Linked DNA regions of Canis lupus familiaris. The protein of the gene in region 1 binds, or shares a complex with, the protein of each later gene. Links are inferred from orthologs where the notes say so. Each region holds a gene or a part of one and is shown in the gene's direction. Other genes may lie near its edges.

Evidence for each region.
Region 2: the proteins of CAST (region 1) and CAPNS1 are in contact, whole or in part, in a crystal structure (PDB 3BOW), measured with the Rattus norvegicus proteins. The link is inferred for Canis lupus familiaris from reciprocal best matches to the Homo sapiens genes CAST and CAPNS1. Residues at the interface, in NP_445747.2 of Rattus norvegicus: Pro652, Ile653, Asp654, Ala655, Leu656, Ser657, Asp659, Leu660, Asp661; in NP_058814.1 of Rattus norvegicus: Phe103, Leu106, Gln109, Leu110, Ile125, Lys128, Val129, Arg132, His133, Leu136, Phe166, Trp170, Lys174, Gln177, Lys181.

The regions. Positions count from the first base shown.
Region 1 is NC_049224.1:13,067,326-13,071,662, reverse strand, and holds the start of CAST (calpastatin), read left to right. Parts: upstream 1-1,246; 5' UTR 1,247-1,325; coding exon 1,326-1,400; intron 1,401-2,719; exon of another isoform or gene 2,720-2,847; coding exon of another isoform or gene 2,848-2,877; intron 2,878-4,337.
Region 2 is NC_049222.1:117,400,085-117,404,450, reverse strand, and holds the start of CAPNS1 (calpain small subunit 1), read left to right. Parts: upstream 1-1,523; 5' UTR 1,524-1,595; intron 1,596-2,503; 5' UTR 2,504-2,521; coding exon 2,522-2,727; intron 2,728-2,745; exon of another isoform or gene 2,746-2,766; coding exon of another isoform or gene 2,767-2,789; intron 2,790-2,806; exon of another isoform or gene 2,807-2,941; intron 2,942-3,076; exon of another isoform or gene 3,077-3,157; intron 3,158-3,589; coding exon 3,590-3,623; intron 3,624-3,896; coding exon 3,897-3,986; intron 3,987-4,141; coding exon 4,142-4,199; intron 4,200-4,298; coding exon 4,299-4,363; intron 4,364-4,366. UniProt on the Homo sapiens protein: Regulatory subunit of the calcium-regulated non-lysosomal thiol-protease which catalyzes limited proteolysis of substrates involved in cytoskeletal remodeling and signal transduction. Essential for embryonic development.

The DNA.
Region 1 (4,337 bases):
ACAAAAATCCCTAAATACAGCATGACTACTCTTTTCCTACAACCTGGCTTCTCTCTCAGCAAATGTCTAAAACATAACACTGCAGAGAGTGGTCACCCTCGGGTCCTAAGTGTCCATGCCACCCCAGGGAAACGGGTTCTTTTTTCTGTCGGGTCTGATCACAAACCACAGAATGGAAGGGTGACAGTCTCAGCAGATGAGCATTTTCTAGACAAGCTTGTTATACTTCACTTCCAGGCCTAAACCAGGAAGTGCTGTTTAAGATGAGTCAAAGACTAAAAACACTTTGGCCTCGGAAACAAAACCGGCCAGGCTCCAGAAACGCTACAGGGGTTTTAATTTGGGACTATTCTTTGGTTTGAATTGGAACCTACGGCTTCCTACCCCCATAAAACGTTTTAAAACTTTCAACATTGCGCCCTCCCGCCCCCCCCCCCCAAAAAAAAACCCCTCCAAGTGAGATGCCAGAAAATACACACAGGAGAGCGTACACACCTACACAAACAGACACATCCAGACAAACAAATGCACAGACCCATTTGTTTTTTTGTGATCCGCTTCCTTATCTAGACGGTCCAGGCTTGGGCCAGATTTGAGTTGGTAAATTCTTCTCCAAACTAAACCCGGACAGATTGCAGGAAAGGTGTTTAATTCTGGAGATAGGGACGCCTGGGTGGCTCAGCGGTTGAGCGTCTGCCTTCGGCCCAGGGCGTGATCCTAGAGTCGTGGGATCGAGCCCCACGTCGGGCTCCCTGCGTGGAGCCTGCTTCTCCCTCTGCCTGTGTCTCTGCCTGCCCCCCCCCCCCCTCTCTGTGTTTCTCATAAATAAGTAAAATCTTTAAAACAAAAATTCTGGAGACCTGTTTAAGGAGAAGGGTCGAGGCGCAGCCGGGCCACGCCCGGGTCCCGCTCTCCCGTTGCACAACTGAAAGCTGAGTCCGGGCAAGTCGAAGGAGGAACCCTGAGACCTGCAGCCCCTCCTCCCTGCGACCTCGGGGAGCCCCGAGTCCTGGGAGGCGGGGAGGACCTCGGGGCGAAGACCACGGGGCCGAGGGTGTTCGGCTTCAGCCCCGGGGCGCTGGAGCTGGGGCCGCAGCCAGCAGCCGGCAGGAAGGGGAGGACCCGGCCGGGCAAGGGGGAGCCCCCGCGCGGGCTCGGGGCTGGGTCGGAAAAGCTGCCTCACGGGCGCGCCCGCCGGCCCCTCCGCCCCCTCCCTCCCTCCCTCCCTCGCTCGCTCGCTCGCTCGCTCGCAGAGCAGCCCCGCCCGGGCCTCCCTTCGCGGCCCCGCGGCGCCCTCCCGGAGGCAGCGATCCCGCGGCCTCGCCATGTCTCAGCCGGGCCAGAAGCCCGCTGCCTCCCCGAGGCCCCGGCGCGCTGCCGCCGCCCGCGACACCCAGGAGGTGAGTGGCGCCCCTCCGGGAGCCGCAGGGCCGCGCTGGGGGGAGGGGATCCGAGCCCCGGGGCCCTGGGCCGCCTCCTCGGGGCGTGACCCGCGCGGCCGCCTGGCCCGGGCGCCCTCGGGGCCGGGAAGGGCGCGGGGCTCAGGCTCGCCGCCGGGCAGGGGCCGGAGGTGACCAGGGGTCCCTCGGGCCCGGCCCAGTGCGCCCGGCGAGGCGCGAGCTCCACAGGGGGCCGGGCCGCGTCGGGGAAAGTTGGGTGGGGAGAGGCGGGCGAGGGAAGAGAGGGCTGGGGGCGGGAGTTCCTTCGAGGCCCCCGGAGTGGGGGGAGTTTAACGAGCGCGGAATCCCCTCTTCCGCTTAAAGCCGGGGCTGCAGGGCGGGGCTGCCCCGAGGAATAACACAGCCACCCTAGCCAGCCTCGCGCCGCGCCGGGCGGGGCGGGGCGGGGCTGCCCGAGGAATAACACCCCTACCCTAGCCAGCCTCGCGCCGCACCGGGCGGGGCGGGGTCTGCGGGGGCGGGGCCTGCGGGGGGCGGGGCTTCCCCGAGAACTAGCACAGCTACCCTAGCCAGCCTCCCGCGGCTCCGGGCTGGGCGGGGCCTGAGGGGGCGGGGCCTGCGGGGGGCGGGGCCTGCGGGGGCGGGGCTTCCCCGAGAACTAACACCCCTACCCTAACCAGCTTCCCGCGGCACCGGGCGGTGCGGGGCCTGAGGGGCGGGGCCTGCGGGGGGGGCGGGGCGGGTGTGGGGGCGGGGCCTGCGGGGGGCGGGGCTTCCCCGAGAACTAGCACAGCTACCCTAGCCAGCCTCCCGCGGTACCGGGCGGTGCGGGGCCTGAGGGGCGGGGCCTGCGGGGGGGGCGGGGCGGGTGTGGGGGCGGGGCCTGTGGGGGGGCGGGGCTTCCCCGAGAACTAACACCCCTACCCTAACCAGCTTCCCGCGGCACCGGGCGGGGCGGGGCCTGAGGGGGCGGGGCCTGCGGGGGCGGGGCTACCCGAGAACTAACAGCTACCCTAACCAGCTTCCCGCGGCACCGGGCGGGGCGGGGCCTGAGGGGGCGGGGCCTGCGGGGGCGGGGCTACCCGAGAACTAACACAGCTACCCTAACCAGCTTCCCGCGGCACCGGGCGGGGCGGGGCCTGAGGGGCGGGGCCTGCGGGGGGGCGGGGCGGGTGTGGGGGCGGGGCTTCCCCGTGAAATAACACCCCTACCCTAGCCAGCCTCCCGCGGCTCCGGGCGGGGCGGGGCCTGCGGGGGCGGGGTCTGCGGGGCGGGGCCGCTCCGGGTGCGCCCAGGTGTCGTGCCTCCTGCTGGCTGCGGGCGTCCCGAGCGCAGAGCCCGCCAGCTCCCAGGCAGGCGAAGTGGGAGCCCCGCGCCGGCCGCCCCGCACCCCGCGTCCTCGCCGAGCCCTCCGCCACGCGCGGCTCCGAGCCCACCGACTGTGGCCATGGCATTCGCAAGCTGGTGGTACAAGACGGTAAACGCGAGCGATCGTGCCTGGGCAGGAACGGGAAGGGGATGATTGCTCTGCCTTTCCGGGAGTGCGGATGGATGAGTGCTGTCCGGACTGGGGCTGGGAAGGGGTGGGGACCACATGCGACCTCTTCCCGGGACTTCAGGTTGGGCTCCGGGAGAGGCCGAGACTCACCCTGCTGTGGTATGCACCAGCGCGCCCGGGCGTGCGAGTCCGTGTGAGCAGAGATGCAGGAGGCCCTGCTTGCTCTCGAGCTGAATGGGACAGGAATAGTTCCGGGAGGAATTCCGCCCCTGGATGCGGATTCCCGAATGAACTCAGCTCGCAAGAGCCTAGACCTAGCGTTTTTAACTTGTGTGCAAAGCTCGAAACTTTTAGAGAAATGTCCTTGGACATGCATTTTCCAACACAGAGGAGGAGAATGGGGGGGCAAGAGAAAACCCAACACTCCAAGGAGCAGTAGCAACCGAGATCAAGAGCTTTGTTGAGAATGAGACGGTGAGAGTTAGAGCGATTCTGTACTTTTTTTTCCACACACAAAAAAAATAAAATAAAAATACACGAATGATGTGTTGGTAGGTGAGAATCAAAATATTTCTATCCCATTGATTGATGTGTGAATTTGAAAAACTTAGTTTTAAGTACACGTCTTTCTCAGCATGTGGTATTGGGAAAAGCAAGGTTATTCTAATTAGACACGCTTTAGAGAGAAACCTTGTATGGAAATCAGTAAACTGTCACTGATAAGCCAGTGGCCATTCACTGAACACCTACTATGTGCCAAGTCTGGTCCTAGCCTCTAAGTACACAGTGGAGAATAAGATAATAGTTCTTTTTCTCAAAGGGCAATGAGTCAACATTTCTGAACCTGTTTCCAAATCTGTAAAATGAAGGTCATAATAGGCACCACGTAAGGGTTGTGAGGACCGATTAGATTCATGGATCAAAGTACCCACCGTACCCATAGACTTTTAATGATTGGGAATTACAGTTTCCCTAAAGATATTTCTTTGTAATTGTTTCCCATTACATTTTCTGGGCTTTTAAAACATAGCATCTTATTTATGTGCTGAAAGCAAAAGTTTGCTTTGAGTCATTATTGTCCCAAGGTTCTTATCAAAGTGCACCACAGGAATTATCTGCAAATATGGATGGCAGTGTTTCAGAGGTGACATCAGACTTCTCTTTCCAAATTCATGATTCCCTAAAGGAAATTCCCTCAAGGAAATGCTGGAATATTTGAAGTAGTTTAAAACAGTGCTTTTAACTTTGTTATGTTTAGGCATCGTCTGTCATTTTGCTAAGATCTCTCTTATATTCCAATTTGGGAACTACCATAAAATTTTTTTGCCTCTCAGGATCAGCAAATTGTCTGTGATCAGCTTTGATTCTTCCCAAACCAATGTCATCTGAAAGAAATGTGGTGTGTCACATATGTAATTTAAAATTTCCTAGTAGCCACA
Region 2 (4,366 bases), on another chromosome or scaffold:
CTAGTCAGGAGCGCCAATATTAATCATATTGGGCAGCCCGGGTGGCTCAGCGGTTTAGCACCGCCTTTGGCCCACCCAGGGCGTGATCCTGGAGACCCTGGATCGAGTCCCACGTCGGGCTCCCTGTACGGAGCCTGCTTCTCCCTCTTCCTGTGTCTCTGCCTCTCTCTCTCTCCTCTCTGTGTATTCTCATGAATAAATAAATAAAATCTTAAGAAAAATTAATCATATTATTGAAGTCAATGCTTTAGGGTAGTGGTTAAGGTTACAGGCTAGGGAGTTTACCCTCAGTCAGTTTACTTGTAAAATGGAAATACTGTGTACATCCACGCCATAGGGCTGTTACAAGGGCATGTGAGGTTATATGTAAAGTGCTCAGGAGAGTGCCTGGCCCTTATTTTTATCAGTATCACCTAAGGGTAGGTCAGTCAACCACCTGAGGAATCCAGGTGGGCTACAGGAGGAGGGAACAGCAGCATGGGTACAGGCACACACAGTTTCCTCTTTACTAACCTTATTTACCACTCAATTCTGAGGGGGAATGGGAACCTTTGTTTCTCATTTTACAGATGAATAAATCCTTGCTAAAACGAAATGAAACAAAACAAAACAGCCTTGCTCAGAGCCCAAAGGATCCCAGTTATTAAATGTCAGAGCCAGGGTTCAGACTCAAGCTAAGTCAGCCTCCAGGGGAGAGTCGAAGGGGGCCAGACTTTCCAGAAGGCCTGGGAGCCAGATTAGCTCCCTCTGAGGAGCCCTGAAGTTTGGAGGCCGGAGCTCCCCAGAGGGGCTTCCGCTGCCGCCCTTTGCCCTGCCAGCTTCTGCATTCCCCACCCCCTACTTCTCCGCCCGATCTTGGGGACATCTAGCTTCAGAAACCAGGCCAGAGAGACTGACTGTTCGGGTGCCCAGGCCCCTCTTTAGAGATGGGAAGGAGGAGGCGACACTTGGCGCCGCTGACTCGGGGTAAAAGGATGCGGGGGGAGGAGGCACAGGCAACTTTTGTAGGCGGGGAAGTCCTTCCTGCAGTCTGACCGCCACCTGGTTGCTGCAGGGCCCCGGGAAAGCTAGTCCAGCCTTAGCCCCTTGCCCCAAATGCGGGCGCCGGTCCCCGGGCTGTGGGCCGAGCATCCGGGTCTCCAAATGCTTTGTGGCGACAGGACTAGGATCCGGGGCGCGGGCCCGAAGTCCCCTTCCCAGCGGACCGAAAACGGCACCGCGGGGCGCACGGGGGCTCGCTGTGGGGCCAGAATTCACACTGCAACACTAGGGGGGGATCCCGGGCACGGCGACCGCACTGCCCTCAAGGACCGGGAAGACCTCGGATCTCGGAGCGCAGGGCGGGGTCCGCACCCACAGCTCAGGAAACGCGCGGGGCGGAGCCGCGGCGGCCGCTCGGGGTCACGGGAGGCGGGCCCGGCGCGCGCAGGCGCAGCTCAGGCCGGCTCTAGGACCGCGCGGAGGCCGGTCGGGCCGCCCGCAGAGCCCAGCCCCGCCCGCAGCCTGAGTCACCCGCCCCGCCCTGCGGAGCCGGACGCGGCCGGAGGCCCGGGAGCAGCGCGGACGAACGGATCCACGGACGAGTGAGCGAGGCGGTGAGCGCCCGATCTGGATTAGCCCTGTACTCCGTAACCCCGGTCCTTGCGGCCCCCATATCCAACACCCTTAAGCCCTGGTCTCAGGGGTCCCCCCCCCCGACCCATGATCTCAGACTGGAAGCCCCAGTTATGTCCGGCACCAGGTTATCCCCCCCTCCCCCGCCGGGGACTCTTCCACCCTCTGCCTCAGGATCTAAAGTTCGAGCCCGTGGATTTGAGAGGTACTCCTACAAATTATGCTCAGGGTAGGGTCCCCAGAACCACGATCCTTAGATCCGTTCTCCCAATTCTAATGGGCACCCCGTTATCCCAGGCCCCGGGATTCACACCCACAGTCTTAGACCCGAGCCCGCAGAATCAGCGGCGACATTGTAACCCGCTGCTGGGAGTATCGAAACCCTCAAGCTCACATTTCTGGGTTTCCTGAACCCTGCCCCAGAGCCTTCCAAGTGGAGAATCTCTGATCGGCGCCCCTGACCCGCCCAAGACCCCGAAACCCAGCTCTGGGGCTCGATCTGACTCGAGTACCTAGACATGTCAAAGATGTCTTGCACCAGCTTGGGGCCCCCACCTGGAGAAGCCCCCAGACCTGGACCCTTACCCTGGATGATGCCTATGCACTATGGACTCAGTCCAGGGGCCCTCAAGCCAGAAGGAGATCCTTTGGACCCAGAGGGGATTTCAAACCCGATCCTCAGTCCCTGTCCCACCCATCCGAAAACTACCCTCCCCCAGAACCCCAGACCCCATCCCAAATGCACCGTCAAGCCCGAGCCGGAGCATAAGTCCCTGCCCTGAGGCCTCATGTTACTCCCCAAGTCCGGCTGCCAGAAATGCGTATTTTTGTGTGGAAGGAGCGGGCTCCGTGGCGATGCGGCCCCTTGACCCCCCCTTTCCCCCCCCAGGAATTTTAAATCGCAGCCATGTTCCTGGTTAACTCGTTCTTGAAAGGAGGCGGCGGCGGCGGGGGAGGCGGGGGCCTGGGCGGGGGCCTGGGGAATGTGATCGGAGGCCTGATCAGCGGAGCCGGCGGCGGCGGCGGCGGCGGAGGAGGCGGCGGCGGCGGCGGCGGCGGCGGCGGGGGCGGAACGGCCATGCGCATCCTGGGCGGGGTCATTAGTGCCATCAGGTAAGGCGGGGCCTGAGGGGCGGGGCCCGGCGGAGGAGCATGTCCCGCCTGAGTAGATGGAGGTAACCTGGGGCCTGACCTGCAGTCTTCGAGGCTGGGCCACCCGCCTGGAGGGCGCGGGCCGTAGCGGGGCCGCTGGCAGTTCAGGAGGCGGCGCTTGACGTGGGCGGAGTCTGACGGCTGAGGGGCGATCTGCCGGGCGCTGCTCGGGGAGGTGGGGCTTGGGGGGGCGCGGCCTGCCTCCCGGCGGCCGGGAGACGAACGTTAGGGGGGCGGAGCCGCTGAGCCCGGCCGTCTCTTCCCGGGGCCAGGCCTGCCTTGCGGGCGCGGCGTGGCCGTGGTCTCGGGTCAGTGAGGCGCTGGACCCAGCAGAGGCCGAGGCCGAATGGGATGCGGGAGATGATCCTGAAGGAGGTGGATCTGGCTAGAAGTACGACCTGGTCGAGGTGGAGCGGGTTGTCACCAGGGGCCTCATTAACCGTGGCCCCCCTCGAAGGGGTGGGGACTCCTGGAGCTGGTGGGATGTTGGGAAACACGGGTGTTCAGGAAGCCACAGGACGGAGCAGGTTCCTAGACAGAAGGGGCCTGAGGAGGATGGAGCCCCAGGAAGCTGGGTCAGAGCTTCTATGAAGTGATCTGTTGAGGAATCTGTCACTGGGCAGGTGTGCCCTGGCCTGGCCCTGGCCTACCGTAGGGCGGGCCTCTGAGTTTCCTGCCAGGTGCAACCAGGGCAGCAAAGAGGGACCGTTAAGGCGAGCAGAAGGAGCCGGTGGGGAGGGTGGTGGGCTGGAGTTTGAGGGGTTGGGCACCGTCTTTGGAGGCTCCGCACACTGGCGCTAACTCCCTAACTCTCTCCCCTCAGTGAGGCAGCTGCGCAGTACAACCCAGAGCCTCCGGTAAGCCACCCTCTATAATCGGAGACCCTGCTTCTCACTCCCAGGCTTTTTTCCACACCCATCATTGTCCCTTTGTCCCCCTTATGAAATTCCACTCATTAAATCTCTCCCTTGCCAAGGTCCCCAAACTTAGCTATAGCCACTCCCTGCTTTCTGACCATCTCTCATTTCTTTGATCACCCAGCCACTCAGCCCATTCCGACTTTCCCACCAAGGGCTGTCCTGACCCGGGCACCCCTCCACCACTTGCTCTGAGATCTTTTCCCTCTGCAGCCTCCACGCACCCATTACTCCAACATTGAAGCCAATGAGAGCGAGGAGGTCCGGCAGTTCCGGAGGCTCTTTGCTCAGCTGGCTGGAGATGTAAGTAACCCTGGGCCCCTATCTTTGTCCTAAGTCTTCCACATCTTCCTTTGGGCTGCCCTTGCACACACCCCCAAAAATGGCAATCCCCAAAGAATCCCCATTCTCCTTCATGACATTCTTCCCTTGTGACCATCCCTGACTTTTCCCCACAGGACATGGAAGTCAGTGCCACAGAACTCATGAACATTCTCAACAAGGTCGTAACCAGACGTGAGTTGTTGGGCTCAACACATAGGACAGGTTTTGAGTCATGGGTTGCTGGGGTAGTTGTGACCTCTGGCCTTCTGACTTTCAATCTGTCCCCCACAGATCCTGATCTGAAAACTGATGGTTTTGGCATTGACACATGTCGCAGCATGGTGGCCGTGATGGATGTA